Linked DNA regions of Caenorhabditis elegans. The protein of the gene in region 1 purifies or fractionates together with the protein of each later gene. This does not show direct contact. Each region holds a gene or a part of one and is shown on either strand. Other genes may lie near its edges.

Evidence for each region.
Region 2: the proteins of grk-2 (region 1) and pgp-10 fractionate together in Caenorhabditis elegans (co-fractionation; one large-scale study listed by BioGRID). This does not show direct contact.

Annotation. Positions count from the first base shown.
Region 1 is NC_003281.10:668,370-684,683, forward strand, and holds grk-2 (G protein-coupled receptor kinase 2), read left to right. Parts: upstream 1-7,752; 5' UTR 7,753-7,759; coding exon 7,760-8,023; intron 8,024-8,073; coding exon 8,074-8,175; intron 8,176-8,223; coding exon 8,224-8,504; intron 8,505-8,838; coding exon 8,839-9,246; intron 9,247-9,686; coding exon 9,687-10,028; intron 10,029-10,301; coding exon 10,302-10,570; intron 10,571-10,619; coding exon 10,620-10,753; intron 10,754-10,801; coding exon 10,802-10,924; intron 10,925-11,477; coding exon 11,478-11,678; 3' UTR 11,679-12,280; downstream 12,281-16,314. Other genes in the region: W02B3.3 (uncharacterized protein), read right to left, coding at 1-64; W02B3.4 (uncharacterized protein), read right to left, coding at 12,527-12,664, 12,712-12,821, 12,981-13,107, 13,157-13,399, 13,598-13,724, 13,773-13,906, 14,223-14,360, 14,814-14,960. UniProt on the Caenorhabditis elegans protein: Specifically phosphorylates the activated forms of G protein-coupled receptors. Required in adult sensory neurons for chemotaxis.
Region 2 is NC_003284.9:7,152,861-7,170,195, reverse strand, and holds pgp-10 (P-GlycoProtein related), read right to left. Parts: upstream 11,161-17,335; coding exon 10,992-11,160; intron 10,433-10,991; coding exon 10,317-10,432; intron 10,271-10,316; coding exon 10,169-10,270; intron 10,123-10,168; coding exon 9,991-10,122; intron 9,919-9,990; coding exon 9,785-9,918; intron 9,446-9,784; coding exon 9,274-9,445; intron 9,222-9,273; coding exon 9,097-9,221; intron 9,049-9,096; coding exon 8,967-9,048; intron 8,916-8,966; coding exon 8,829-8,915; intron 8,787-8,828; coding exon 8,678-8,786; intron 8,626-8,677; coding exon 8,521-8,625; intron 8,471-8,520; coding exon 8,283-8,470; intron 8,235-8,282; coding exon 8,094-8,234; intron 8,044-8,093; coding exon 7,955-8,043; intron 7,906-7,954; coding exon 7,611-7,905; intron 7,320-7,610; coding exon 7,203-7,319; intron 7,156-7,202; coding exon 6,946-7,155; intron 6,888-6,945; coding exon 6,732-6,887; intron 6,684-6,731; coding exon 6,582-6,683; intron 6,520-6,581; coding exon 6,454-6,519; and 20 more. Other genes in the region: bar-1 (Beta-catenin/armadillo-related protein 1), read left to right, coding at 1-49, 107-211, 845-991, 1,038-1,162, 1,211-1,325, 1,380-1,592, 1,640-1,885, 1,931-2,044 and 7 more; C54D1.7 (Antimicrobial peptide), read left to right, coding at 14,259-14,322, 14,479-14,555, 16,082-16,216.

The DNA.
Region 1 (16,314 bases):
GTGTGCCTCCTTTTCCGTTTTCTCCTGCTCCTTCTTCTTCCTCTACCCCGTCCTTCAGATCCATGTGTTAGTGCCACTTGCAATTACATCTCTCCATCTCTCTCTCTCTCCCTCTCTGTCTCAGGTTTGCTGCGTCTCAGCGTTTCTTTTCACGGCACCTCGATGCACTATTCGGCGCTCCAATTTTTCCTTCTGGCATAGGCCTGCTGCTACTGCCGTCGCCAAACTTGTGAATATTTCAAGGAGGAAGGAGAAGAGGAAAGAGTGAGAAAAAGTGTACGTGTGTGTGTGCTTGAATGAAGAGATGATGACTACTTTCCACTTTTATTCCCTGATTTTATGTTTTTTAAAGGTGGAATAAGAGTGATTTCAAACATTGTAGCTTGAGAATTAAAAATAACTTTGAAAATTGGAACATTTCAAATTGTATCTGCATATGGTTACTGAGTGCTTATTTACTTAGTTAGTTGGAACGTTATATCCTGAACTTTGCACCAAAATGTTTTTAAACGTTTTAATTATTTTGCAATGCTTTGTTTGAAACGTGAATCCATGGACCCACTGGGAAACTTTTACGTAGGTAGTCGGAATCAGGGGAAAATTGGGAGTCAATTAAAAATATTTCCAAGATCTCGGTACTCCACCTTCAATAATATTTGTTCTAGAAATCACAGCTTCACGAGTTTTACTGAGAACTTTCATATATATTATTCTGAATTTAAAATTTTTGATTCCAGAAAAAAAAGTCTAAAAATAGTCTAAAAATACTCTTGAACCAAAACACATACCGTGGTCGGCTCACCACCCCCTTATACATCGCCCACTTTGACTTTTAAATTCCCCCTAATTATTTGTGCTTTGTTACATTTCTTCTTCTTTTTTTCCAACTGTGCCCCACTCTACATCTTCTTCATTCTTTTCCTCTTCTCCTTCCAAATGAAAAAAAAAACGAAAAGGAATCTCAAATTTCTCCCCGTACCACTGGTGGTGGTGCCACAAGGTTTCCTTTTTTTATATATCTACATGTTTCAATTGAAAAAGCAGAAGAGTGGTGCTTTACGAAAAAAAAGAGAAAAAGAGATGTAGCATACCTGTGGAGAAGCAGAGTGAAGAACAAAACAAAAGTGTGGAAGAATGGGAGGAAGCATGGGAGAACGGGCACACTTTTTTGACGTTTAGCACTAGTTTTTCTTTTTTTAGTACTGGATTCATTTTTTTTCGAAATGTTAGTTTTCATCTAGTATGTAAAACTACCCAGACTACAGTCTAGGCTTATGTTTGGGATTAGGTTAGGCTTGCTCATAGGCGAACTTGCTCATAGGCAACCGTGTCTTAGGATGCGTAAGATTTGAGATTCTTGGAAAATAAATATTTGTTCCAAACTAATAAAAGAATTACAGAAACATTACAAACTGGCAAGTACTTGAAATTCGTGTTTCGTTCTAAAACCTAAATTTTTAGACGGTAGTAAATGATAATATTTTTTTCAATTTCTGTATTTTAAAAGCCCTTTAAAATTAATGAGCTAATAAGTACAAAGTAATTATTTCTTATAGTCATTTTTAAAAATTTTTTTTGATCATGCATCAACTTTAATAACTCATAATTAAATTTTTTGTTCTCACATTCAAAGCACTTTTTTTAAAAACGATATCAGTATACAACATTTTTTTCTTGGTTTTTTTTCGGTTTTTTCGATAAATTCGATTTTTGTTTTTTGGTTGAACTTTTTTTGCAACAGCCTAGTGGTACTTGATTTACTATTAGTTCGGCAACAGTTCGGCTTCTGTTATGCGACTCTTTGCCCACCTATAGTCGTTAGGGTAGAAGTACTGCAGTCACAGCTGTGCTCCTTTTTCATATGCCAAATGCCAAATTATGCCGGTTTTTGGAGCGGGACGTATGTCTATATGCTTTTTTTGAAATTTTCGACCCATGCCAAAAAAAAACTGCATAGCGAAATAGCTTTGTGCTCGACGATCGAAATGTCTGCTAATCTTCAATATTATGACTATGACCAAGGTGTGCGCGGCAATTGCAGTTCGGCAATTTTGGCAATTACCAAAATAGCCGAAAATTCACAAAACCGACAATTGCCGAAATTGAAGATTATCAGAATTAACCAGAAACAAAAATTTGATATTTTTTGTACATTTAGGAGCCTAAACATGCAATTTAATGAACAATTTTCTTTTTCAAGCTCAAAATGTTTTAATCCTTTAAGACCGTTTTCTTTCAGAAAATGACTAACCGAATACTAAAAAACAAGGTGAAAATTTTCCGAAAATGCCCGAATTGGCGATTGCCGAAAATTTCCAACACCGGCGATTGCCGATGTTGTCGATTGCAGGAAATCTCCAATTGCCGCACACCCCTGTAATGATATTTTAAAACTATGAAAACCTATTGCAAGGACTTTCAGAAGTGCGGTAATTAAAGTTAGTGCACACTTTTAATAACGCTTTCAACTCCAACTGAGAAACATCGAACTTTTCATTTTTTGTACTTTAATAATGAGACACAAAAAAGAAGGAAGCATTGCGTGTGAACTGATGCGTTTTGAATCTTATTACCTTCTTGCACACGGTGGTGATGATCACCATCTAAATGAATCCCTATATTTTCTATATTTAGACTCGCTCCACTTCCCGTGTAAAATACTTTTTTCAGGAATACGGAAAGGGGAGGGAAGAAATCTGAAAGTGACCATGAAAATAGCATATGATACACGGAGAATTGGAATTTCTCAACGTCTCGTGAAAATTGCCTTCTCCCCCTCCACTACTGGCTTCGCTGCTACGCATCGATTGCCGGGCACTTCTGGCGAGCAATTTCTCGCTGCGTCTCCAAACCCGCTCACACTATTTCCACGGGGGTCGTGGTCCCGTCAGCTTTTTCTCTTTTTGCAGAAAAAGAGAGAGAGAGAGAGAGCCACCACCAACTCGATTAACACCGACTTGAAGACGTCGTCGTCCGTGTTTTCTCTTCTTCAGGAGTCTTGAGAGTGACTTCAGAAGACACGACGACGACGAAAAAAGTTAAGTTGTGTGAGCCCTAGGGCGACGATTTTCTCGTTTTCCCCCTTACTTCGCACACCCACACACATACACACGATTTTACATTTTTTGCTAACTTTCCTTCTGCCCAAAAATGTGTCGCAACCTTCGTTTTCTTACCGATCATTAATCAGTTGACTCGAATCATCTCCCGGGCCACTTGCTCTGAACAAACATTGCCTCCTGGCTCCTCTGGTGGAGGTTTTCACTCGCACCAGCTAATCCTTATCTCTTTTATCTTGTAGTTCCTATTGACTTTTGACACTTCTCTGAAGACTTATCTTACAAGTTGCAAGAAAAGTAATAGGTGGTACTTTTGAAAAATTCGTTTTCTATCAAGTCTTTTATAACGTGCAAAATGTTGCTGTTTTTGCCATGTGACACTGTTTTTCCAAGAATTACATTCACGTAACCAGTTTCGATTTGCGACACTTTCTTTTTTAGAAATGGTGTAGATTCAAAAATCCATTAAATTTTTTTGAACAAACTTAAGACCCGCCTCAGCTATCCTTGTCTCATTTAGCTTGACGTTGCCTTGTCTGAATATTTGGACAGGGGTGAGCGGCAATTGCCGTTTGGCAAATTTTTGCCGACAATTTCGGCAAATCGACAAATTGCCGGTTTGCCGGACATTTTCTATTCCGGAACTGTGCCGGTTTGCCGATTTGCCGAATTGCCGGAAAATCCAAGTCCGGCAATTTGCCAGTTTGTCGATTTTGCCGGAAATTTTCAATACCGGCAATTTGCCGGAAAAAATCGTTTGCCGCCCACCACTGATTTTGATATTAATATGGACACGTGTTGTACAGTTTTTTTACGCACGTACATTTAAAAAGGTTATCAGAGCAAATATATACTTGTTTTTTTTTTAATTTAAACAATTCCAAAATTGTATAATTAAATAAAATCAACTCTAGAGTGTTACAAGATTGGCAATTAATTTTTGTAGCACCCTAAAACATGATCGATCATTTTTTTAAACACCTTCATTATCTTGTGAGCATCATAATAGTATTTTGTAAAGTTCATGACGTGAAAATGTTTTTTTTGAATTCAAACTTTTCAAAAACTATACTTATTCTTTGGTTTTCGAGATATTATATCATATTGGAAAATATATGTGTATCGTCATTTTATTTACTGCATACTGAACAACAGGGGAAAAGGGGTAGAATTAGCTGTAAGACGGCGTCTAGGTTTTGCATTCCAAGTGAATCATGCTCGTTTTTTTTTCTGAATTTTCCGTTATGAAATAGTTTTAAAAAAAAGTATATTTGCCAAATTCGTCAAGCTCGGCAAATTTGCCGTATTCGGTAAATATTAGAAAAAAATATTTGTCAAATTTGCTGAGCTCGGCAATTTTTGTAATTTGCCGCACACCCCTGTTATGGAAGACCTGTCGTTTTCGGAAGAAAGAGAAGATCTAAATTTCCAATAAAAATTTCTGAATAATTAAAATTTGAATTTTTTTTTGAGTTTTCTGGTAGATTATTTTCCAGAGAAATTATTTTTGAACTTCACGACAAATTTTCAATGAAAAATTGAAATTGAAATTTTTATTTTTATTTTTTTAAATTTTTGCATTTATTTGAAAAAAAAACCATTGCTTGAATTTTTTGAAACTTAAATTGTGAAGTTCTCGGAGTATTTTTTATGACAGAAAACTAGTTTTTTTTCTTGTTCAAATGAAGTTCCTAAATCCCCAAAACTGATTATAGTTTATTATTTCAATTTCACATGATCGACGGCTATATTTTTCTCTTCCCACAATTCTCAAGACGATAACGACCACAAAAAATAAAACTTTCACACGACAGTTTCCATAGTGATTGGTTTAAAGAAATAAGGATTTTTTAACGACCCAATAATATTCTCTTCTTCTTTTGAAATGGGGGAATTTTTGAGAAATTTGAGATATTCTGACCCATTTTTTCTTTGTACAAGCTTTAAAAACAATACATCAAAGATGAAAATGTAGTTTTTTGCATTTCAGTCAAAATTTTTTGGCGGCGATTTTCACGGTTAAATCCTTCAAGCCCCGCCCAAAAAATGGACAAAATTTTTCAGCGCAAATCTCAATTTGAACTTTCTGAAAAAAATTTTTGCAATTCTACAGGCCGCCCATGACGTTTCAAACTAAATTTTTTCCGTTATTTTTTCTCTTTTTCTCTCATTTTCTCTTCCAATTCAATGTTTTTGTCTGGCGGAAGAGCCCGGATTTTTCGATTTTCCGGTTGAGGACGTCTTATCAAAAGAAAGTGATTTCATTGGCTTTTGGTGTCGAAAAGAGCAATGCGGCTTATTATTCTTCTTTTGCTGCTTTGTGAAATTTGGTTTTAAGAAATTTTTCAAAAAAAAGCGAACCATCCCGAGACTTATAATTTTTGGAATTCGACCAAAAAATTTGTTCTACGAACATTTTACTTAAATTGACAATACAAGCAGGCCAATCTAGTCCCGGACTTCAAATTGAGACGTAAGTCATTTCAAAGCTTATGTTTAGACTAGATCACCACAAAAATTTCAGCGGCGGAACTTTAACTGAACCCCTGAAATTAGCATTTGAAAGTGGTCCAGTGCATTTTTTAGCTGAATTCTAGGTCAAGAAAATGGCCTTAAAGTAGTTCTGAGCAAATAGAAATTGTTTTTGTGGGTCTTTTGTGTCTAAAAACAATGTGGGTGCTTTTTGGAAATTATTATTTTTTCGAAAAAAATCTGAATTTTTTCCCTAATTTTTGCAAATTTTTTTTCAAATTCTAAAAGTGTTTTTTTTGTATCTGGGCATGCAAAAGGGTGCATATTTCTTCAAATTGAGCCTTTCGCACAAAATTTAAAGTTAATTTTAAGCTTAAAAGTCACTTGAAATAAGTAATTATTTTGTTGAAATAAGCAGAACGTACTAAAAAATTTCCGATCTCCATTATTCCAATGCAAAGTGCTCCTCTGGTGCCATATTTTTGTAGAAAGCTACTTGAAAGATTTGTAAGGTGCTCTTTCAAACTAATACCTACCACTGCTAGCACAGCCCCCTTTTTATTTCTATTACTTCATCGAAGACTAATTCATTACAAAATATCCGGATATCTCTTTTTTTTTTGAATAGGGAGCCCTCCCTCTGTGTTTATCTAATCTGCCACTTGTTTTTCCACTCTTCCGTCTCCTCTTCTTCTCCTAGTGTCCCTTTGAGACTTTTGGCGGTTACTGATACTACAACTAATACCCCCTACCAACAACTAGCCAGTATTTGATAACAAAAACAGCTATATATAATTTTTGAGATTTCTAGATTTTTTCTATCTATACAAAAATAATTTTAATTCCCAGTTGGGGTATATTTTGATGGCTTGACGTTACGGTGCCAGCCTACGGTTGGAAATAGGGGTGTGCGGCAAATCTCAAAATTGCCAAGTTCGGCAAATTTGGCATATTTGCCGAGCTCATCAAACCCCGAAAAGCATAAAATTAAAAAGAACTCAATTTTATGTTACTTTACTATAATTTTTGAACAAAATCATTAGCTTCGGTCAATTTTAAAAAAATCCAATTTGTGGTGTGTGCAGCAAATTTGGCCCCGCCACTTTTTGGAAGTTTGCCATGCTTGGCAAATTTGGAAAACCCAACAAATTCGCTGCATACACCTGGTTAAAAAGCGCCTATTCCCGTTCATTACTCGCCCGTTTGGCGCCCTATCCCGATGATTTGTTCTCATGGAAATTGATTACTAAATACTGATTGAATTTTTTCCTTTTTTATAGGACGCACACCCGTAGGGATTCTTCAAAAAAATTTAGAGTTTTCACCTCAAAAAAATTACTATTCAAATTTTATCTCGAATACCTGAAACTGCATAAAAAATTTTTGTAACGTGACAACACTAATTGCTCTTTAAAATATCTCAATTTTACGAGAGCTTCGTTAGACTTACTACTGGCTCAGACATTTCCTGATTGCAGCTGACTTCCAGATCAGAAGTGCACTAGGAATGTCTTTTAACTCTTTAATCCTATCCTAATCCGCTTAAGCTTCCACCTAAATCATCCCGAACATAAAATTCGTTCTTTCCATTCCCCCTCCTTTCCCAAGTCAGTACCTAAACCCTTCCCCCGAAAAAAATTCGACTACCCGTCTCACCCCATAACTCGATTTGGACGGGTGGGGTAGGCTCGGGGGCTCCGAGCTTTTACATATTTTTCTTTTTTTTTTCTGCTTCTATCTTTTTCTCTGCGTCTCGTCTCTCTTGTTCTTCGTGAGAAGCAAGAGAGAAAGAAAAACTGCATTTTTATGATTGTTGTTCAATTTTTTTTCTCTCTTTTCCCTTCCCTTCTCTTCATTTTTCTTTCAGATTTAGTAATTTTTTCGCTTTTATTTTTCAAAACAATATTAGAATACTTTGCCGCTCTACTTTTTGAGTCATTGCTAGAAAAAGGGGACCTTGATGGCTTTGACATCTAATATCTTGGCTGCTTTCAGTTTTAGGAAAACATTTTTAACTACAAAACTGTTGAACACAATTGTTTCTATATTTTTGTAGTTTAAAAAATTGTTCTGTCGCTGAAAATAACCGAGCTACAAGCCGATAAAGGTTATTTTCAATTAGCGCAACTATGTATGTTTGGCTTTCAGAATTTTACTCGTTTCCTGACAAATTATTACTCGTTCTTTAAAAACCAAATCTCTAATCAATTCGATTTTGCAGAACAAAAATGGCAGACTTGGAAGCAGTGCTGGCTGACGTCAGCTACCTGATGGCAATGGAGAAGAGCCGAAGTCAGCCGGCGGCTCGTGCCAGCAAACGCATAGTTCTGCCAGACCCGAGTGTGCGGAGTATAATGCAAAAATTTCTGGAAAAGTCGGGTGATATGAAGTTTGATAAGATCTTCAATCAAAAGCTCGGTTTCTTGTTGTTAAAAGATTACGCGGAAAATGTCTCCGAGAGTCCGTGTCCTCAAATTAAATTCTACGAGGCGGTGAGTATCAGAGTTACCAAAATATATCTCTGATCTCAACAAAGTTTCAGATCAAAGAATACGAGAAAATGGAGACACCAGATGAGCGATTAACAAAAGCACGAGAAATTTATGATCATCATATAATGGTTGAAATGCTCGCACATGCTCACGTAAGACTCAGTCACTTTAATTCTTCAACAAATCGCAAACTATTTCAGAACTACTCAAAAGAATCATTACAACATGTACAATATCATCTTCTTAAACAAAATGTGCCTCCAGATCTTTTTCACCGATATGTTTTGGAGATTTGCGATCAGCTTCGTGGAGATATTTTTCAACGATTTCTCGAGTCGGACAAGTTCACCAGATTCTGTCAGTGGAAAAACTTGGAGTTGAATATGCAGCTGACAATGAACGACTTCTCAGTACATCGAATTATCGGTCGAGGTGGCTTTGGAGAAGTCTACGGGTGTCGTAAAGCTGACACGGGAAAGATGTGAGTGGTGAATATGCAAGCCTGCTCCTAAAAAGAAAATGTTATGCCAGAAGTTCAAAACCAGGTCTAGAAAAACTAGGTTACCCTGGAGTACCAAAGATACACGTGATGCCAGGTTGTCCCATCACGGTTTGATCTCCAAAAAATGCGGGAATTTTCGCCAAAAATATGTGACGGTAGCACGGTCTTAAGCATAAAAAATAAGTTGAGAACTCTGCGTCTCTTATCCCGCATTTTTTGTAGATCTACGTAGATCAAGCCGAAATAAGACACTCTGACATTACGGGAAGAAATTATCAATATTACTGGACTTGATTAGAATTTCATATTCCAGGTACGCGATGAAATGTCTTGACAAAAAGCGAATCAAGATGAAACAAGGAGAAACGCTGGCACTAAACGAGAGAATCATGTTGAGCCTCGTCTCCACTGGACAAGATTGCCCATTCATCGTGTGTATGACATACGCATTTCAATCACCCGACAAACTGTGTTTCATCCTTGATTTGATGAACGGTGGTGACCTTCATTATCATTTATCACAACACGGAGTATTTACGGAGCAAGAGATGATATTTTATGCGTCAGAAGTTATACTTGGACTGGAACATATGCATAATCGATTTGTAGTTTATCGAGATTTAAAGCCTGCCAATATTTTGTTGGATGAGAATGGTCATGTGAGGGTTTCCGATTTGGGTCTCGCGTGTGATTATTCAAAAAAGAAGCCGCATGCTAGTGTGTAAGTTGTTTTCTTTCAAACCTGAACACATAGAAAATCTCAGACTTATAAGCGCTATTGGGAAGATTATACCTTGTATCAAACACATATTTTGACTCTTGAGGTTTTGCTAAGGAAAAAAAGGCAAAGGCGTTGCTAGAAATTTTAAAACTATTTTTGAGCCCTATAATTATGCCCTATTATTATAATTATAAGTCAGGGCTCCCAGCTGAGTGAGGAGCAAAATGCGGGTCCCACACCGGCGCCGTTACCCGCTGTATGTGTAATGAAGTGGGAAAAGGTAGTTACCTGAAAGCGACTGACACGTTCGGGCCCTCATTGGAGCCCTACTATCAGTATTTCAAAAAGTTTGCCTGTTTTCAAGACAGAAAATGAGGATCTAATCAAACTTTTAAACTTTTAAATAAATTCGACCAGTCACCTAATTGTTTCAATTTCAGCGGAACCCACGGCTACATGGCACCCGAAGTACTGGCCAAAGGCGTTGCCTACGACTCGTCAGCCGACTGGTTCTCGTTAGGATGTATGCTGTATAAACTTCTAAAGGGACACTCACCATTTCGTCAACATAAGAGCAAAGATAAGAACGAGATTGACAAAATGACATTAACACAAGATATTGAACTGCCGAATGAAGGATTGTCAAAAGACTGTCGAGATCTTCTGGAGGGACTTTTGAAACGAGACGTTCCGGATAGATTGGGGTGTCGCGGGAAAGGGCCGACGGAGGTTAAGGAGCATCCATTTTTCAAAGATGTCGATTGGCAAACTGTGTATTTGAGGTGAGTTTATATATTTAATAGAACCAAATTACTCAAAGTACAAAAATTAATATTTTTTGTCGTTAGCCACATAGATGTAAATTGAAAAGAGCATTCGAAGCCATACAGATCCGTTATAAATTTTATCGTCCTGTGCTGGTATTTCTTACAAACCACATTGTGGAAATTGTAATACAGTCCAAAACGGAAATTTAAGGTGAATAATTTTTAAGCCATTAATGTTGCAACAATTTTGTAAAATTTCAAGAAACTCACCAATCAGCAATTTTCCAGACGAATGACACCACCACTAATCCCACCACGTGGAGAAGTCAACGCTGCGGATGCATTTGACATTGGAAACTTTGACGATGATGAAGTGAAAGGTGTCAAGTTGCAAGACGGGGATTCAGATTTGTACAAAAACTTCAATATTGTGATATCTGAACGGTGGCAGAATGAAATCGCGGAGACAATATTTGAGGTAGTGAATCAGGATGCGGATAAGGCGGAGAGTAAGAAGCGGTCAAAACAGAAGATCAAGGTGGCAGTTGAGGAGAAAGGTAAGTAGAAAAAGATCCCCAGGCAAATCTGCATAATATTTGATTCCAGATTCCGATGTTATAGTCCACGGGTATATCAAGAAGCTCGGCGGCCCGTTCACCTCGGCTTGGCAAACCAAATACGGCAAGCTCTATCCATCTCGACTGGAACTTTATCCGGAATCATTAACTGCTAAGCCAGAGGTACGTTTGATTTGAAAACTGAGTAAATATAAAAATGACACATTTCAGTTAGTATTTATGGATCAAATCGAAGATGTGTGCGCCGAAATGCAGACCATCAAGGGAGAGACGGCAATCATTGTGAAGTTACGAGATGGGTTCAAAGAGCCTAAGATTTGCTTAACAAACTCGGTTAGTGAAAATGTTTTAAAGTATAAGACTGAAAAAAAAAACTGTCGGTCTGTCTATCTTGTAGTTTTTGAATTCTGTGGCATTTATTGAAGCGTGCCTTGCACTCTCCGCTGGTATTAATTTCTGCGGAATAAAAATTGCTATTATAAAATTAAACTTGGCTAAAAACTCTAAATTCAAGTATTCAAAAAACCGTTGCGGAAAAATTCTAAATTTATTTTTTTTATTTCTTGTAGAAATTTTTTCCTACAAAAAATTGCGGCAGAAAATTTAAAATTTAAAATTGAGTTTTTCAAAAATTTCTGCAGAAAATTCAAATCTTTATTCTTTCAAAAATACTGACGAGAACACATTTTAAACTTACAATTTTTTAGGAACAAAATTGACGCAAAATTCAAGTTCTGATTTTGATCAAATCAAAATTCTTGCAGAGAAATTTTCTTGTTTAAACTAATTCAAAATTTTAAACTTTGGGGTGCAATTCAAATTTGAACTTTTATAGGAGTGTCATCGTTATCAGATTTTTTCAAAATCTTGAATTTCAAAATTCCAGGACGAAATCTCTTTGAAAGAATGGCACACATCCCTCCGCACGGCTCACAAAGTCTCCCAGGAACTTTTGCAACGAATGGGCCGAAAAGCAATCAAAATCTATGGAGTCAATCATGACCCAATGTTATCTGAAAGTGAACGACCTGGTTCTGTGACAAGAGCCTTTCTGAATAGGGCTAGCAGTGTTGATTCTGGTGTTTAACTTGAAGAAAAAAAATTTTCCAAAATTTTATTTTTGGAAAAAAATCCCCCAAGCATTCCTCTATCTACGGTACCTTTTGTCTTGTGATCTCCTCGATTTTCACACATTTTCCTATAGTTTTTTTTGGGATAATTATTTTAGAACACTTATGTGCTCTTTTTCCGTGCACACATGATAAAAACCGCCGAAAAATGTATATTTTGAATTTTTTCATCAAATGCAGCTTACTACAGAGAGCTTACTATTAGCAGTACTTATGCCAATCTTGGGTCCCGCCACGAAAACAGATTAATGTACTTTTTGCGTGAAATCCATGAGTTCTACTTTGTTTTAGAATAATTATCCTAAAAAACTATAGCTTATCTTTAAAATTAAATTTATACATTCCTTCCACTCCCCCATCCATCCCTGTAAAAAAACCTGTATCAGATGCACAATTTATCGATTTTCACTGTGTTTCTTTTTTCTGTTCTAAAGATTTTTTATTTCATTATTTTTAATGTAAAAACTTTCCTTTTAGAATCTTACACTTTTTACCAATTTTACATCCATTTTCAAAACATCTCAAAAACCCATTTTCAGATAAATAAATTAAAAATTTATTTTATGAAATGAAATGAAATGAAAGAAAAAAAACTAATACCCGTTGAAATGTTGACCGGATGTTAACAGGATATTCATTAGGCAGGAAGTCGGACCCGTGATCTTTCCAGTCAAGGTCATACCTCTTACCGGCTGAGCCACAGGGCGCAGTTAAGTGGAAGCATGGTACCCCCGTAGCCGGTAAGAAGCTCTCCCTGGACAAAATAGGTCGCAGGTTCGACCCCGACACAAAGAGTTTTCCTTTGCTACCGTTTAAACACTTTGTAGACCATTTTCATCTGCTCCTTCGTCCATTTTCCGTTCTTCTTCACATTTTTTCCTGAAGAATTCCATGAGTACTTTGATGTCAGGTGATCGAGGTACCATAGTTGGCCATACTCTTTCTAAACATTTTAAAGGGAATTTTAGTAAATATTTTTGAAATTCATACCACAATTTTCTCGTTCGGAGTACAAGTGACCCAAAATATATGACCGTGGAGGTCTGCTGCACAGAATGGATCGTAAACAGGATAGGAGTACTTGTACTTGGTGCCGTCGGCTGTAAAAATGTTGAATTATTTTATAAATGTTTTTTATGAAAAATACTTTAATTTTTTACTGAAAAATTAGCTTGAAAATCACCAAAACAATTTCAAAGCAATTTTTTTATCTTCTTGGATTTCTTCCAATTTTAGAATGAAATGTTCAAAAAACTTACGAGCAACTCCACCCACCCAATGATGGGTCACCGATCCATTCTCCACACCCTTGTACATTAGAAACACGTCTATAAAAACTTTGAATCCAGTTTTCGGCGCCAATGTCAACTCGAACGAGTCATTAGTCTAAATTATCCCCAGGTTTTTAAAATTGATTCCAGAAAATTTAACAAACCATTCCGAATTTCCTCTTAATTCGAAAATCGGATAAATTCTGCTCCATTTGTTCCACAAAATTCAAATTAAAATCCTCTGCAAACACAGAAATATCCATATCCAACGTATGTGGGATTACAGAACATTCGCGGTACCATCCCAGAAGGGTTCCGCCATTTAAAAATGGGAACATTCGATTCTCTATGAGTTCGTCTCGAAGACGGGATAACACTTCGGATGATGGTCTCGCCGGCATTCGAACCTGGAAAATTTTCAGAATAGTCCAAAAATCAAAATAAGTATACAACAAATTTGAAAAAAAACATTTTTTTTCGGAAATTTACATTTTGAAAGCTCTCCAGGTTATTTCGAAAATCTCGAAGCTTCATTCTTTTATTAAATTTTAGAATTTTTTTAAAAATATTTATGTTTTGGTATACTGTCAAGTTTTAGAAATTACCTTAGACCCGGCTCTTGGGATGTGCAAATTCATACAGTTGACAAATTTGGCACGTTTCCAAAACTCCACGAATAATTTGATGTCAGCTGGAACTGCAAGATTTTCAACCCAACAAGTTGAGAATTTTCTGAACTTTGGAAAATTGAAAGGTTCAAGATAATTTAATAAATATTACTTTGGAATGATTTTCCTGGGTTCTGATCTAAAATCAAGAAAGTCTTTTTCGGTATCATTAGTGTAGTAGACAATTTCAAACCGGGAATCTTGCAGGAGCCACGTGGCGGATAGATATTTGACGTCCACGCCAATCTGGAACTAGGTGACTTTGATATGAATGAGGTGGGCGGCAAACGATTTTTTTTCGGCAAATCGGCAATTTGCCGGAAAAAAATGCCAAAATTGAAAATTTGCCTATTTGCCGAACGCCAATTGCAGCCCACCCCTGATATGAATCGATAATTTATGAGCAATTCTAACTCAAATTGTCTGATTTTTTTTGTGAAATACCCGCCAATTAAAAAAAAACTTGTTGAGCAATTTGAATGTGGTATTTCCTCTCAAATATTTTGAAACTCATTTGGTAAAAGTATATTTTTAATATCAACATGTTTTTTTCTATTCTTACTTTTGTTGGTCTTCCAGTTGGTAGATTACAAGCATTTTCATCTAACATCTTGAGTACATCAACATCAATCAGTAGGACTGGAACAGTTGTATTCAATGAGTTCAGAAAAGATTCACAAGTTTGATAGTGCAAAGCAAGCTGAAATTTACTTTTTTGAAAATTTAGCATTCATTTAAAGGCAGAGTAGCGCCAGTGGGGATTTTGTTTACATACACTCACAATGATCCATAACGATAGAATAACATAATAAAACAATCCAAAAAAATTAAATTTTTATACTTTCCTGTCAAAGTTTTTGCCAATATTTTGAAAAATATGAGCTTTTGAGGAAATCTATAGCAATGTCGTATGTTTCGACCTTCACAATGTTTTAATATAAATAATTAAAACAAAATTCCAGTATAAAAAATGTAGGAAAATTTTTTTTGGTGGAATTCCAAAATTATAGGTGGCAAAACTTTTTGACAGAAGATAAAAAATTTAAAGAATTTTTTAAAACGTTTTATTACGATATTCGGTCATTTGGGCACCATAGGAGTGGTTTTTTAACAATTTTCCAGCTGGAGCTACTTCACTTTTAATAAATCTTACGGATCGTTTCATGAATGGAACGATTGGACCGCCCGTGTAGTCATTTTCTTCGTTCAGTTGATTCCGAAATACAGTTGTCTGATAGAAGATCAGCATGGAGGATAGGAGAAGAAATGGAAATGAGAACAATACAAAGTGCTTTCTCATTCTGGAAAAATCATAAATACTGTTCAAGCTAATACGGAAAAATGTGTTAGAGAAGTAACGAAGGTCACTCAAAAATAATTTTTTGCGACCAAAAATTTTTCTCTCAAGAGAAAAGATAGAAGTGGGGAAAATTTGCGCAGAAACAGATGGTGACTTGATTTGTTTTTTTTTCTTTCTTTGTATGAACAGAAAGGAGGAAAGGGACACTAACAAATTACTTGTTTACTATTTATAGAATTTCAGAATTTTTATTTGCTTGAAGACTAAGTAAAGTTTTATTTTTAGATGTTGGAATTTTGAGTTGGTCTCGAGAATATCAGATTTGAAATAACGTAGAACTAAGAATAAGTCTGAGCCTGAGCATAAGCCTAAGCCTAAATCTAATCCAGCCTATTAAAGGTGTGCAAACCTGGAACATTAAAATATTTGATTTCTGAAAAATGAAAGTAAGAAAGGAAAAAAGAAATAAAAAACTAACAAAGGAACACCAATTCTTCTTTTTTGTGTTTTCTGGTGGTAGCATTCTATTCACGGTCGACTGCCTAATAACGAGAAGCCTAATGAAATGATAGTCGAGTTGATGTTTTTTGGTGAAAGAGCTTGGAAGTTATCTTCAAATGCGGAAGGAACGCTTTATATGACAACCAGTCAATTGATAAAACTATTTTCTGTATATGAGTCAACTAGAACAATTTTGTTTTCCTAAATATTTGAATTTCAGAGACAGTTTATCTATGAGTGTTTTGTTTACACGGCTTGTGGTGCTAGAATAAAATTTAATTTTGACATTTCAAAAAGATGGACTGTAAAGTATACATTTTATAGCAACTTAAAATGAAGTAGAAACAGTTTGGAAAGTGTTAAAAACTACCCCTATGGTGCCAAAATCACCAAATATCGGAACATGCGATGTTGCTTTGGATTTCCTCAAAAGCTTATATTTTTTCAAAATTTTGGCAATTTGCCAAAACTTTGATCGGAAATTAGGAAAAATCTAAAAGAAACATTGGAGTGTTTTATTATATTTTTGGTGGTTTTGAATAGTTATAAGTGTATTTAGTAAAAATTTCCACTGGCGCTACCCACCTTTAAAAATCAAAAACGCAATGGCTTTTGATTTTTTTCAAGTTTCAGTTATATCAGTTCAAGATTCAAAAATCAATCATCAAAAAATTGGAAAGTCTTGAAAATTTCATGGGGAACCCCAGCATTAGAAACATCAAAAAAACACCAAAAAAAGAAGAACACAAAAAACAAGTTTTCGATAGAGAAGGAATATTTTATCGATGGTACTACTACAATATTTATTAAGTATGAGCTTCTTGTTGGTAGTTGTGTGACGTCAAAACGAGCA
Region 2 (17,335 bases), on another chromosome or scaffold:
AATGTCATCCATGGCCGACTATGAGCCGATCCCCACTCTTTCAGATCAAGTAAGACCATTTCATATCAAAATGCGCTGGTGGACAAAATTGTTATTTTTCTTCCAGCAAAAACAAAAGTTTGATGGGATCACGCAAAATCAAGCGGATGGGCAGTATAACACAGTTCGAGCAATTCCAGAACTCACTATGCTTATGAAAGATCAGGATAATGTAAGATTTTTTTGTTCAAAACTTTTTTGAAATATTCATACTCATAATTTCACAATATATGAATTAAAAAAATCCTCGGTTTTGACCTATTTTTTATATTTTAATTATATTCAAACATCTTGTATTCCAACATGCAACAATGCTCGAAATGTTACAAATTTTTGGAAAACTTAGCAACTTATCAGAACTGTGACTGAAATTTTTGAAAAAAAAACTTTAAAAAATTAGAAACGTATGTCTACTATTACTATTATTACTATTACTATTACTATTACTACTATTACTGGACTACTATTATTTCATTTAGGTATAATATGATGTTAATTGATTTTTAACTTTCAATTACTCAAAATAAATTATCAAATCTACAGTAAGAAAAATATTTAGTCGAATTTATTCACTTAAATTTTCAAATCACAAAATCTGAAATTAAACTATGAACTTTTGATTTCAGTACTGATATTAACACAAAGATAAATTGGTTCTAATGCTGCTTACTGATGAAGCCGGTGTTTGAACTTTTGATTGTTTGTAACATTTAAAATCGATTATCAAAATTGAAGTATCTGGAAAAAATTTAAAAAAATTGATTGTTCTGCTGAAAAAAACATTATTCAAACAAAAATCTTACAGGAGGTTGTGCACAAAGCTGTAATTCTGATGCAAAATATTGCGAAGATGGAGTGTGACCCAATGCGACGGCAAAATGAAGCTCGAATTGTGGACCCCCGTGTTATATTTACACTGCGTGATCTTCTCCGTGACAAAGTTGAATTCCCGGTATAGCTTGTGCACTTGCACAGTTTAATACATCATATATTTTCAGAACATCATTCGTTGCACTTTGGGAACATTCTTCCACATTTGCAACCGACAGGAAGGAATTGATCTTGTCACTCGAGCGATCGCAGAACAACCTGATATAATTCCAAATCTTATTAGGCATATTGGGTAAGAAAGTTAAATTTCAGAAAAAAATCATTCAAATAGCTGTTACAGTACTTATCCAAGTTCAATATACAAATATGCCATTCTTACTATGCATTCGATTCTGTCCGATAAGCAGAGAGGCGGACAAAGTGTGATCATTGCGCGTCAACAAGATGCGATTACTGTAAGATTAAAGAAGAAAAAAAATTGAAAAAAAAAAATTTACAAAAAATTGCAGCATGTGACTCCGTGGTTAGAAGCGGAGAAATCAGAAAAACTTCTTCCAGTGATAGTTGACTTGATCAGAGTTTTGTGTGAAAAGAACACCGAACAGAAAATCAAGTTTGTGAAAATGGGAGGACCTCAAAAACTGCTCATGCTACTACAACACAGAGTTTATGAAAATTTGCTTTGGCGAACTACGCAACTTTTGAAAACATTTTCGAACTTTGTAAGAAATATTTGAAACTGAAGGATGTAATGTCTGAACTTTTCCAGGACGCTCCAAATCTTGTTGCTTTTGGTGGTCGCCAAATTCTCGCCAATCTTCTTTCACATGGTAGTCCGCGACTTGTACAATCAACCCTTGAAACTTTGCGAAATATAAGTGACGTACCAAGCAAAATAAAAGAAGATTTACTTTTGAAATCTCTTCTGGAGCTGGTCAATTCTCGAAATACAACAATCCGTCTATATTCTGCTCAGATAATGTCAAATCTAGTTGCAAACAACAGGCATAACAAGGTGCTTTTGTCAGAAATCAAGATATAGTATTAATTTTAATTCCAGGAGTTTATGTGTGGCAACAATGGGGTTGTCATTCTTGTGAGAGCTTTAACAATTGCCACCAAAGAGATGGGTGACTTGAGAGATAAAGAAGCACAGCAAATGGAGGATTATATTGTAATAACATTTAAATTTCAAAGCTTAACAATACGGTTTTCAGGAAAGCCTAATTTGCACGCTACGGCATCTCTGTGTTGGACATCCAATGTCAGATAAGGTCCAAGCATTTGTTTTCCGAGATCCTGCATTATTTCTACACAAATTGTTAACAATGAGACCAGTATTGCTGAAACACACATTGAGTGTAAGTCATTAATTTGAAGGGCTAATAAGAAATTGAGATTTAATTTAGCTCCTGCTGAAAGTTGTATCCCAACATGCCCTTCTTGCTCCATTCCGATCATGCCGAATTGGAGATAAAGGTTTTGTTGAGCAACTCATTCATATTTTGAGAGTGGCATGTACCCAGCTGAATGTGGTAAGTAAAAAGTCAACAAACCGACTAATAATTGTTGGATTTCAAGCAAGAATCTATCGAAGGTGTCCGCGTGAAAGATATCATTCATCTTTGTATTCAAATCCTGCGATGGATTACAAGAGACCAGGACATTCTCAACGAGGTATTAATGTTTTCAGGTTGAAAACCCAAATTTCAATTTATAGGTTGTTTTCTTCCTGCAAACTCCTGAAAATAGCCGAATGGGCGATGGTCATACTCTTCCAATTTTTGTATTACAAAAAGCCAACGTTGAAGAGAACACGAAATCATCGGCTCTGGCCTTGATTTATAATTTGATGCATCATGAGCAAATGGCAAACGTACTTGACAGAGATGACGTTCTTGTTAAAATGCTTCAAAATGTTCAAATGCAATCTCAAACTCACCCTGAATTAGGTAACGTTGCACACCAATAGACAAGTAGAACTGAAAATTTACAGCAAGTCTAGCAAATAATATTCTCAAGATGATGTATGAGAAGCGAGAAAAGACAAGGAATACTCTTCCAAGATACAATTCATATTTAGAGGTAACACAAAATGGGGGATAACTCTAAGAAAAAGTCAGTATTACAGAGCCAATTTGGTCACATGAGCATGACCACCCCACGAAGCGAAGCACTAAATAGTAGCGGTGAAGTGTGTGAGGGAGCTGGAGAGCAATGGTCTACACCTTTAACAGATGATACTATGATGGATTCGTATTGCAACAGCTCCGGACGAGATTCATCAAGTAAGATATAAGATGACAATTTAATTTGCTCTAGGAAGCTAATCAAATTTAACAAATAACTTTCGGCCATTTTGACATTTGCCGGATGTCAAAATTTTGAAGATGTCTTTAGAAAAGCAGTTTAAAATATAAGCTCAACAAAGATATATGTTCGATAATTTTCAAAGCTTCGGCAACACGATTGTTCGTTGCCGAAAACTTCCCGAAGTTTTTATATATTGCCAACTTTGATAAACGCAGGATTCCAAAGATTCTATCTACATACATAGTTTTGCTTACCATTGTGAGAGCGAAAAAAAAACTTAGGAAAATTGTTATAGATGTAATTTTTCAACTTTTTTAAAATAACAATCAAAATTTGACAATTATTCATTTTACATAGTTACCCATTTTTTGGAAGTAAAAATTGTTTAAATGTGAAATGAAGGTTTTTAATTAACGTATTTGCTCTATAAGTGGGGGTGCCAAAACTTTTTGAAAGAATACATATATTTCGTAATATTTTATTTCGGCTGTATGATTGTTTTGTTTTTTTCTTAAGATTATTTTACTAAACTTTTCACTGACGCTACTCCACCTTCGAATTGGATTGAGACAATATACTATTAAAGAAACTATGAACCTAGAACCAAAAACAAATATTTCTTCAGAACCATACAACTCACCAATGTACCATTCCCCACCAGCAATGTATCCAGAATACTCAATTGGACCTCCCGAGACGTACTTGGATCCCCATGCCACAGCATCTTGTTATCCGCGACCAACGCCTCCTCAATATAACAGCTATGACCGTAGTCCACCAGTTTACAACGACCTTCCATCAAACCCTGGTCCGAGTAGTCATTCGTCTGATTATTATCCTTCTAGGAATAGTCGATTTTAATTTTTTAATTATAACATAGACCCCCACACTTTCCACCACCCCAGTCGGATATTTGTTGCACATTCCTTGAAAATGAGATTCTAATTATTTGTATACGGGTTCATGAATTGGCATGCAAAATATGTTGAATAAAGTGAATTTTTATTGAATTTCAATTTCAGAAAGTGTGTCAGATAAGAAAATTTTTATAAAAATAACAACTATTATTTACAAATTATGAATTCCAGATTCAGAGTGTAGTTTTTGCATGCCAAAACAAATTCATTTACGTCATTTGATTCATTTCGTAGTAGATACCCTTCAAGTTGATAAGCTGCTCATGGCTACCTTCCTCGGCAATTTCTCCATGAACAATAACGTATATTTTGTCGACGTTTCGAATTGTTGATAAACGATGAGCGACTGGAAAAAAAACATTTTTCCCGTTAGAGATTTGCCAATTCTCGTGACGTACTGGCTGAGAGTTTAAACCGCATTAAATATTACTTTTCAGTTTCAATATACTAATTCTTACTTTGAATACACGTGCATTGAGTCTTCGTACTCCTCTTGACTCGTTCAAAAGCGTTTTGAACTTCTCTCTCGCTGGCGCTATCCAATGCCGATGTTGCCTCATCTAACAGTAGAACAGTTGGTTTTCTGATAATTGCACGGGCAATTGCAATTCTTTGTTTTTGACCGCCAGAGAGCTGGGCACCAAACTCTCCAACCTCTGTGTCGTAGCCCTAAATTGCTTTGTTTTAATGTGTTTTATTTTTAAACTCACCTGTGGTAAACTAGTGATAAAATTATGAATGTCCGCAATCTTTGCAGCTTCGATAACTTTATCAATTGTTGCTTCGCTTTCCATCATTCCAAAAGCAATATTTTCCTAAGAACAAGAACATTTTATTGTGATTTTGATAAATGGTTAAAGATACCTTGATGGTGAAAGAGAAAAGATCAGGTTCCTGGCCGACTTGTACAATGCATCTTCTTAAATAGGCCGGGTTTATAGATTTGATGTTGTACTTGTCAATGATAACAACACCATCCGTGGCGTTGTACATTCGTTGGAACAAAGAAATCACCGAGGATTTACCGGACCCGGAAGGTCCTACAAGTGCAATTGATTCTCCACCCCTGACCTTTAAGTTGATCGTTGAAATTCGATGCAAAAAAGGTACTTATGGGTTTCGTTCCCCTCAATATGTTTTCCATAATTTTTGATAGAGACGTGAACTTTTTTTCATTCTCAGGCTTAGGAAGATGGTTTCCTAAGCCTGAAAATGAAAATAGTATTAAAATAAACTTTCACGTGTGGATTAAAATTAAAAATTCAGTATTAAATAATTAAAAGAACATTTTGGGGGAACGAAACCCATAAGTATTAAAAAAAACACTGACCTTCAAGTTCAAGTTAGTCAACACTGGTACAATGGGTCTTGAAGGATATCTGAACGAAACATCCTTAAGACAGAGGTTTCCTTCCAGCTTCTAAAATAGAAAACTTGTATTTCCTTGGCTTAGTTAATAATTTTACCGGTCTTAAGCCTTCCTCTGATAAGTTATCCATGTCAACGGGTGGTTCTCTTATCACCCTCATAACGTTTTCAGCTGCAATCTGCGCTTTGGTAAAGTCACTGACAGATGCGATGAGTTGTGAGAAGAAATTGGCACCAAACTGAGTGAGCAGAACAACTCTTAAATGACATTTTCTTATTTTTATGTTTCTGCTGATCTGTTCTGGTTACCTCATATAATCAAATACACTAATTTCGTTTGCCAGCATCATCACTTTTCCAAAGTGAAGAGTAATTGCAATAAGGATATAGGTGAACGAGTATTGACATGCAAAAACAAGAGCAGAAATAAGGGATTGTTTTTGCATACATCTGAAAATCAAATTTTAGAACTAAATCAACCGATTACTGTACTCACTGTGATACTGGTTTTAAAGCATCGCAAAAAACGTTATAAAAATGAGATTGTAGATTGTATGCTTTGATTGTACTCATGTTTGCAAGCACCACGGACGCTAAGTTAGCAGCTTTTTTTTCTTCATCCACCATTTGTCTTTGTCTGAAATACACTTTTGAAACGGACTAAATTTAATGGACTGGCTACCTCTTCGTTCCTTCTCTGATTTGTAATATTCTGATAACAAAGTATGCTGGGAACTGGAAGGAACACAAAAGAGCCATTTTCCAGTTGATCCATAACGCGCAAACAATGGAGAACAGCGAGCAGACAACACCAGGAATCAACATATCAAGCTTTTGTTCCATAATTTCATTCAACGTAGACGACTCGTTGATCACTTTGTGAACCAGCCTTCCTGGACTGTTTCTTTCCTCGTCAAAGTATGCAGCGCCATGGCGAAGAACCTGAAATCAAGCTTCGAAAGTTTACCAAGAGAGTAGTGTATACCTTTCTAAACATTTCATTTCTCATGAATTTGCAGAAGCCATGTCCATAAAGTGCGATGAAAATTCGCTAAAATTTGAAACATATTATTGGGGAAATTAAGGATTTTGGGAAATCAAAAGTAAATTTACCCCAAGCGCCTCAAAAATAGTTTTGACAATGATCAAAGCTGTATAAATTGCAGCTACAATAAAAATCTGAAGTGCTCGCTCCTCATCTGGAGCAATTGAAATCTAAAATGTTAGAATATTATGAAAAGAACGCTGCAAGTATCGAGTAACCTCTAACACTGACGCTACTTGAAAACAAATCAGAAGGTAGAAAACTGCTCTAACAATTGTTGTTGGTATAGCACCTGCTAAAAGTGGCAATCCTGTTCTGTAGGAGTAGATAAGATCCTTTAAAACTGTGAAGTTTGTCTCTTTTCCAGGAAGATCCTAAAATAGAATAAAGTTTTGCCTGAGCAACATTAATAAAAAATAATGTTCGGATTACATCATCGTCGTGCATACTGTCCGTGTGTTGTTTCACATCCATACTGTGAACTTTTGAATATTTGTAGTCTAATCTCTCAGACTTTTTTTTGCTCATCACCGGCAGTTTCAGTTTTTCCTTCTCCATACTGTTTACAGAGTACGACTTTCCCAATTTTTTATTGCCACCCAGCGAACTGCGTGCCCATGCACGACGTTGTTGATCGGGATCCTGAAAATTTACGAGAATAAAGGTTTATGGTTTGATTTACAACGTGCCATGTTTGGTGGAGGACTGAACGACATCTGTTGCTGTAGGGATGGCGGTTTTGCCTGTTGCTGGTGCAGCTGTTGGTGTTGCTGAGTCAGTTGGTCGAGGCGTTGGTCATTGTACATCTGTCATGATTGAGATAAAAGTTGACTTTGAGAAAATGAAATAAATTTGGAATCGTGAGAAAAATACCATTTAAAGGGAATTAAAAAAGATAAAAGGATGATTGAGGTAATAATCTTTGACACTATTTTTATTTACTTGTTAGAAATTTAGGGATCACACCGTGTCAGTCATCGAAAACTTGTAATCGTATTTCTAAGTTAGTTTTGACCATCATTCAGCTTTGAAATGGTTATATATTACGTGAATTGTTTTCTATGTTATCCAAATACTTCCTCCCTCTTTAAGCTTACTTTGTGGAAAATTCCGTTTGCATCAGCTATCAACTCATCCGGCACTCCTTCTTCTACAATTTTCCCCTCGTGCAATACAATAATTCTATCAGAATTTTTTATCGTTGAAAGCCGATGTGCAATGGTAATTGTAGTCAAACCTTCGGAAGCTAAGTCAATGGCTGCATTAACTTCTTCCTCGTGAATATTATCCAGTGCAGAGGTTGCTTCGTCGAAAATCAACACAATTGGCTTACGAATTACTGCCCTAGCAATAGCAACTCTCTGCTTTTGACCACCAGATAATTGGTGCCCTCTGAATTCAGATAAATTATTGTAAAAATTGAGTTAAAATGCATGCATACCGTTCTCCAACTCTGGTCTGCATTCCATCAGGTAAACTATTGATAAACTTCCATGCACCCACTTTCCTAGCTGCATCGTTAATTTCTTGCTGTAAAGTTTAACTTGAAGGTAAAACGGTTTGAAATTATCAAAAGGAACCTGAGTGGCATCCAACCTTCCATATCGAATGTTGTCACTGATCGTTCCATCAAAGAGTACTGGCTCCTGGCTAACAAGGGAGCATTGTCCTCGGAGATCATCCGGACACATCGTTTTAATATTCTCACCGTCAAGTAATATCTGATAGCTTCTAGATTAGTTTATGACAAATACACTAGAATAACTTACAGCTCCTTTAGTTGGATCGTAAAACCGGAGCAGTAGAGCAGTGAGGGTGCTTTTTCCACTACCACTACTCCCAACAATCGCTATTTTTTCACCAGCTTCTACTTTAAATGAGATTCCACGAAGTACTTCAGTTTCTTTTCTGCTTGGATACGAAAAGTGAATATCGCGGAAGTGAAGAGCTCCCTTCCCTAAAAAGTTTTAAAAATTTCACATGACTCTATAAACTTCATTAGTTTACCCATAAACTTCATACTCTGTCTTCGATACTTGCACCTTGTTACTGGAACATAGTCGATATTGTTGTCAATTGAAGCAAGTTCCACTTCAATTTTTGGCTGCTCGTCTGAATGTGGACCAATTTTTAAACTGTACATTAAATTTCAAATTTTGTTTACTTAAAACTTCGCAAATCTCTTTTGCGTTATCTTTTGCTCTTGTGGCTCCATTCATGTGGAAGCCAATTGAAATAGAAGTCACACACATATAAAGCATGTTGATTGCAAGCTGTAAATTAAAAATGTACGCGAAAACGGGAAAAAGTTGTACTGCGCAAAGACGTCCTGGCGAATTGTCAGCAACCCTCCAAATCCCATAACAAAGTGCTCCAGTGAAAATAAGCTCTGTCAGGAGGATCTGAAAATTTTTATTGCGAATATTTCAGTAAGAAATTGAGAATTCCAATACCTGTGTTAAACTATCAAAGACTACTGATGATCTCAACCGTTCCTCTGTTAGTTTGCTATGTTCTGCAGATAACTTCTCGAACCTGAATAGTTGCCAGATATCATTTAATCCGTTTACCCAATACTCTTACTTGTTGATTTTTTGTTTCTGAGCGGCGAATGAGATCACCGTAGTTATACAATTAAACGTTTCATTGACAAGATTTGTGATTTTGTTCTGCAGCTTTGTCTCCTCCTCCATTGTGTTTGCAAACCACTGAATAAACTCCTTCCGGTAAGCCTATCTATCAATTATATCATTCTCTCACCTTACTGTACAGTATACGTGATATGATAAGCAGCGGGATCGCGAGACACATGAACAGTGTCACATCCCACTGAATGTACAGGCATACGCCAATGTTAACAAGTAGGTACGATAAAATGAAGACAACCATGGGCAGATGATCGGAAATTCCATTGTATATAGAGTCAGCAGATCTGAAAAACAAAATTTAACGTACGTGCATATTGTGGTAGCACTTGATATACAACTTTTCAACTTGAAAATATTAAATTCGAAGTTCATGCGTGATTTTATTCTAAATTTCACCTCTCTTCCTTTTGTGCTACGTTCACAACTACAACTATCCCTTTGTATTCCAGTCTCCTGTCCCCACTATCACCCATTCCCTCGGTGACCACCAAAATTTATTATCATTGCTTTTCTCCTCCTGTCGCGAGGTAAAGGTTAGGGGTTTCAGGTTTTATTCGTTGATTTTATGTTGTAGAACTATCTGATCTTTACTCCTATCATCATTATCATGGCGGAAATCTTACTCTTGCAACATTGCGGCAACATGACCACTCTGTCGGGATTCAAGCCAAGAGATATCCATAAGAAGCAACTTTCGAATGTATGCCTTCTTGATGCGGAACACTTGACGGATCGACGAAATTTCCCAAGCAATTCGCTGGAAAGTGAAATACAGTCAACAAACACTTAGAAACCCATAAAATCGGCGGAAAATGTCAAAACAAGTTACCTGGCAGAAAGCTGCAATAAACATCGCAATCGACAGTCCCAACATCGAAATGAAAGCGGGTGTTGCAGAATGAGCAAACTGATCGTCGATTGGGTAATCCGATGTGAGATTTTTCAGTCCAAGTTTTCCTTCCTACATTTCAAAAAACTATCATTGAAAGAATTTCAGATCAATTTACCTCTCTTAAAATTGATATTGAGACAAAATTACCCATAATAAGCCAAACAAATGGAGGAAGTGCAGACTGAAGTAGTGCACTAAACAGACCCATCGCCATCAGCTGAATAAATGAAATTTAATAGAATAAAAGTAATGTTAATCAAAACCTGCATGTCAATACTATCGGCAAACGCATAAAGCCTTTTGTAGGGTTCGAAAAATCCAAGTTTTGGCTTGGAATCTGAGGATTTATCCAAGGGGTCGTCCATTGTGACGTCATATGCTGAATGAGTAAAGATAATTAAAAAAAGGGCCTATACGCTCATATCACAAGTCAAATTTATATTAGAAGCAATTTTCAATTTTTCGAATCACATAATTATTTTTTTAAATTCATTTTCATTATAGCAAGCTAATCCAACTTGAAAAATAAATGAGAGAAATAGAACCACTCAAAAAAATTTAGGGGGTACATTCACTGTATCAGAATTCCTCACATTTTGGTGTGTGAGTTCAAAGCCGCACGCGGCTTTTCCAACTGAATCTGGACACAATCTTTTATGTAATTGCTTAGTTACTAAAGGTTAAAAGTTACTAAAATTCACAGCTTTGTTAATATGATGTAGTAAATAAAATCTATCAATATTTAAATTTCAAAAGGCACAGGTTTACCATTGCAAAAAACTCGACAACTTTTTTTAAATTTAGAACAAACAATATTACTTATACTCATAACTAATTGTTCACAATTCTTGGAATCCAATAAGCTTCAAAATCACAACTTTCCCGGGAACACTCTATTTAACAACGATAAAAACATTTCTTAAACTCATTGAACTAACCTTTCTTACTATTCTTCAAATCATCAATATATAACGTTGACGGTTCAATCGGATAGATCATTGATTTCAGAGATTTCTTGTCTTCTGTTTCTGCTTCTTCTTTTTTTTCAGCATTTCCAATTTCGTTGGTTTTATTTGTGCTCTCATTTTTATTTTTCTCATTTGACATCTGCAGAAAAATTAATTGTTACATTCAACCTTCGAATCACTGAATTGTAGAAAGTACAAAAAGAGAACAATATCCACACATCAATCTTCAGTGATGCACTTTAAATTAAAAAAAACATTTGAGTGAAAAAATCTTGAAAACAAAAGCGACCACACTTGGCTTCATTAGGCGGTCATTACATTACTCGCAACCACAAAAACGAGAACATCACGGTTGGTGATGGTGATCGATGCGGTTGAATGGAATGGAGACGAAATGGAGGGTGGAGAGTGTTAAAATGACCTGCGGCCCCCAAGAAGTTCTTAAAGAAAACACACACAAAAACGGGAAGATGAATCAGAAACGGAAATCTTATCAGAAAATATGTATTTAGAGTGATAAAGAAAAAAGAAATGGTAAATGGGATGAAACGGAAGATAGATTAATTGATAAGTTGAAATGAGCTAAGGAACATTTATTTCGGAAGTTGAGAACTTGTGATTTACAGTCACCAGAGTTTTCGAATACCGTTTTTCTTCTTTTATGTCTTGCCCCCTATTATATTTGCATCTTTAACCTTGCATACAAAATGATTATTTCAAACATGTCTGACAGATTTCATACTAGACCTCCAACAGTCAAAAATTTTTAAAAAATTGGAAAAATATTTGCATATACCTTTTGGTTGGTTTTCTATCATTCCGAACGTCTTTTTTCAAAATAATTGGCTTAAATTCAAAATAAATGGTTTAAAAATAGTTTCCCGGTCTCTACATTTTAGTATTGCGTACCTAATAGTCATGTTTACGATTTTTTTCTCTTCAAATAATAACATTTTTTCATGGCTTATCAAAATCAGTATTGTAGAAACTACTCTTCAAAACAAGAGAGGGGGTCCTTTGTGCTCTCAAGCTTACTTAGACACTTCGAGCCAGTAAAAGGAGATAATAGTTCCGAAAATAACAAAAATCAATTGTATGTAATTTTTAGAAGTCCATAATATCATTTTTGCTAGAAGTGACTGCAGGTCTAACAAGTTTAATATACTTCAGGTATACAAAAGTTGACAGAATATTTTCAAATTTTTTAAACAAAATTAGTTTAAATTAACAAAGGCATATGCATTCAAACTATCTAAAAAAAAACAATTAGATATTGGGAAAAGGGTTTTTGGAAATGTGTCTGTTTGTAATACATATGTGCCAAAAAAGTTTCACAAGGAAGGAAAATAGTTTTACCTTATGTGACACTATGCAAGGAAACAATTGATGATTGTATCGGAGGTTATCATCATCTGGTTTTTCTATTTTTCTTACCAAGACCATACTCCTATCATCGCCTCCTTTTGCCCCCAACGCCTTCTTTCTCTCTTGTTTTGGAAAGTGACCGTCAGACGATTTCGAAAATAATCGAGTGCACGTCTTCTCTGCTTCTCTTCTTTTTTCGCCTTACAACCAATAATTGATAACTTGATCATTCTCAAACTGTCGTAACCAATTTCATGCTACCGGTCGCTTATTACTACGAATTAAGTTAACGTTTTGTTTGGTCTCGTTTCTTTTATCAAACTATGTAACCAACTGAATTCACATTTGAGTCATATTATTTATTACTGCTTCAGTTCTATGTAAAAGGGGTTACGTCTTCAGAGATAGTGCGAAACTGTATGGTATAAGTATGCAAAGAAAATACATTTGCTTCCGATTGATTAGTTCATTGTACATGCCCTTTTGTCGGCAAACAATTGAAAAATGTGATTTTTGAAAAGATGTTATAATTTTTATATGTCTGTCTGAATCAATTAGAAATAAACTTGAAAAGCAACTTTTCAAAAATAAAGTTATCTTAAATTTTAACCTCTACGTTAAAACCTTATACATAAATTAATCTAAAACGGCTAAATCGATTTTCATGAAATCCAACAACTGTAAGAACATTTCAAAAAGATGTTGGAATCATTTCAATTCTTATTTTTACTTACAAAACCGAAGTACAATACAAATGTCATAAAGGTTTTGATGATTTCGGGTTTAAAAACGATATTACAAATTGAAATTTTTTAAATTTAAAGAATAGCTAATAAAGATAATATTTTTCAGTAAACTATTTTATATATCAATTTAACATTGAAGAATGATATTTCCGTTTTCAATAAATAATCTAAAAAGCAAAACTGTTCTGATCATGTCTACATTGCTAGGCACCCAAAAATATTATCATTAATAGGTTATTAAAAGAGAACTAACGGTTTTAAGTATTTTGAACGAATAGATCATAATAATATTAAAAAGTCCAATTTTGTAATAAGAGACTTCTCAAAAAAATTAATGGAGGTTCAACATTTTGAAAAAAAATTAGCAATTTTAGCTGGGTCTTAAATTTTGCTTACTTTTCCGTCTTACTGTTTTTTGGATATTTTCCTTTCATTTGATTATCAATCTTTATTGCACATTTTGGCCGGTTATCTCACATTATCTCGTTGATTAAGATACATTGATTAACGACTATTATTTAAGTGTTAGAAAAATAAAAATTATTTTTGAAACAAGTGTAAAAGTGAACAACTGACTAAAAAAAATAAACTTCTTTTTGAATTTCATACAATTAAAACAAATCAAATAATTGGTATAATTTAACTAACAGACATCATGAAACTTAAGTAAGAGTCCAGTAAAAACATGGCATGAAGTGTTTTCGATTACAAGTGCAATGTATTCAGAAGAGTAAAACGTAAATATTGGACTGGTAACAATTAAAAAACAACAAATAGAACAAAAATGAGGAACTCAAAAAGTTTAGTAGATTTATTTTCTTTCATTAACCACCTCCTAAAATAAGAGAGAAAATGCTAATGTGAGAATCATCATTATCATCACACAGTCTCTTTTTGTCATCGCGAGTTTTCACTAATTGAATCAAATACTTGGAGGACATTTAATCACTTGTTTCTTGTTTTGTTCTCGCCCTCGCATCCTAGTGTTTGTGTTACTACAATTCATAGTTCAGACATCGTAATTTTACAGAAAACGGCAGCAGCAGCGACAAAAGGAACAGGAAACATCGTTCTCCATCATCTCAGCTGATTCACCTTATCCCCCAATTATCTTATCTTATTCGGGATGACAAATCAGTTTTGGAAAATTGTGATTGTGATGACTTTGATAACGACCATGTTTCTTGGAGGTTGGGACATTTTCTTAGCCTTAGAGTACCGAACAAAAATGAGTCATGTAGTAAAAGTCTTGCAGATATTGCATGCATTGAAGTGTGAACATATCTTTTAGAAACACTTTGTTCAAATTTCTAGTGATTATAATTTAAATGACAAAAGTTTTACAGAGACTCACAGCGAAGAAGAAAAAATAGTGGGACTTGAAGAATTCCTGACCGAACTCGATCCGACTTTAAGTGACATCGTGAGTGAAATGAAACAATGATATTAAATGACAGTCGTCAAGTTTGATATATTAAGATAGTTACCACATATACTTCTGGCGTCTTTTGAATTAGAGATTTTTAGCCCGCGCAATCAAAAAATATATGACAGTGTATTGTGATAGAACAAAAGACGCGTAAATGTAGGTGTGATCACATTCTTCATAGATTCAAAATTTTAGTTTTTTTTTGTTTCACAAGTGAATTGCACTTTGCGTGACAAATTAGAAATAGTCGTGATATTTGGAATGAATGTCCAAATTCCAAAGCGCAGAATTGGGCTTATGTTTAAAAACAAGGAACACAAGTGGTCACATGTATCAAACATGTGTTTTGTCAAAACTTAAAACTTGATTTTAGAAGTTGACCATTTTAGTATCTACAAAACCGAGAGGCTTGATTTCGATCATTGATTTAGTAAGGTTGAGTAGTTTTATAGATAGGAATGAGTTTCTAAAAAAAGTGATTTGACAGGTTCTATTGATTCACACAGCTGAATTTCAAAAGTTGTAGGAGTTCTTCTACAAATTTTCTCATGAATTGATTGATTCATACTTTTTAATAGAAGCTTTTTAAAATTTTCGTGCTAATATATGTATTTTCTGAATTCTATCAGTTTACTTTGTTTGGAATCTTAAAAAAAATGAATTCTTCAAACTTGATAACTTGGGCAGGATCCTATATTTGATAAACGTTTTAGAATCAATTAAAAAGTTCCTATCATGAAATTTTCTGGCCATTTTTTGTGCTCAAAATAATGACGAATTACTTGGTCTCGTCAGCATCGATTGGCAAACGTCACAACTTTATACCATACTTCTGAACATTGAGCATTTAAAAAATGTGCCAAAAGCTGTGATGAATTTACATACATTCAAGAAGTTGAAGTTTGGAAAGTCGTACATAAAATGTAGCTAAACAATTGTGAGAATTTCAATATTGAAGACTGCAAGAATTTGCTGAACAGCTTGATCGTATTTGTAAACTCCGATTAATCCACAAATTTTTAAATTTTTGCAATTTCATTGCAACAGTTTATAAATTTAAGTTTCTAGCTGCAAGAGATTTCCATGAAGTTCAGTCGCTTCGCTGAGCAGGTCGTTTGAACTCGCTATGTTAAGCTAAACCAAATCTAAATTTTTATATTCTTACTGTTCACACAAGACAATGACGATCTCTATAGAACCGATAATCTCTATAGAGCCTCAAATTTTGAATTTAAAAAAGTATGTTCAGTTTTCTTTTATTTTATTGAATAACTTCAATTCTATTGTACCTCGAAAATAAAAATTAGAAAAATTTAGGACTCAAAATGCCATTGACCACAGCACTCAAATCAATTAGTGAATGATTTTGTAGTTTACAAGAGACTACAAGAAAGTAACATTTTGCAATTCCAAACTGTCTAGTCACGAAATAGACGTTCTGATTTCTGATGGAATGTAAGAACAAGACCTAAAACTTAACATACAAAGCAACCAGTACAACCGAAATCTAATTTTTTTAGGTTCTTGAATTATTGGAAGCACAACAGTTACCAACAAACAAAGCCAATCGAATGATGAGACGGATTATGAGAAAACTACCACCTGAAACATTAGCCGAGCTTTTTGAAGTGTACAAGAACACCCGCAAACCTTAAGTTTTCTTGTTTCTCCTTATACCACTCGCCTACTTGTTTAGTTCAGTTACGTTGAATTTATATTTAATGTTCAATATATGTATAATTTTCCAATACATTCATTCAATTCATCAAAAGAGAAAAGGACAGCAGGCGCGATTCCAATTCAATGAGTCATTGATTCCAAGGAGCAATTGTAAGATACATAGAGCTCACTCAATTCGATGTCAAGATGAGAGAAGATTCATTTCTTGCAGATCCATTGCTTTTTTGTGCTCCCGCCGTTTTTTATAGACGTTTTGCACCGTCTGCGGTCTCCTTGATTAACACTCTCTATGTTATCCGTGTGCAGTGGACTAGGCTCTGATAGAGTAAAACATTGGCCGGGGGTCGACACCAACTCTTCGCAGCGGCGGGGTCGCGGCTAGTGTATATCAGAGAGGGAGAGAGACCATGAGTGTAACAAATTGAACAGTAGAGGAGCTACGGGTTATGAGCGAGGGCAGCAGAAAGAAGCACTGGCCTGACCTCTGCCGGGCCATCGACTCCTTTAGCACCACCCTCTGCTCCGATTCCGGCTCAAATGACCGTCATATAGATTTCTTTGAATTTATCATATTTCTCGATAAATTTGGTATTTTTGAAAGATTCTTGAAATTCATTGACATCACTTATTAGGCTATATTATATTTTTAGCTGGGAACATTTAATCAATCCTGCTTTCATGTGTTTAATTTAGAGAGATAGTTATGGATATCTCGTACATTTTTGCAAGAGAAGTGAATCTTATAGGGTTATAAAACTGCCGCTTACATTCAAAATTATTTTCCATTTCCGTTATTTTCAATTAGTATCGCCAAATTTTAACTAAATAAATAACTACAAATCAGTAGACAAAGAACAATAAAATAATTTGTCAGTTGACCATGTTTTAATAGAGAAAATAAAAATTGAAAATTAAGCTGACCAACTTAAACAATCGGGTGCACTACTAAAAGAGGAACTAAGACAACGATAGACAAAGATACTGTTTTCTTGATTCTTCTTCTGTAAGTTATACCCAGAAAAACTTTAAACGTTCAACGTCCGTTGGAAGCAATCTTAAAGTTCGAAAGTCATTATGCATGCTTTTACAATATT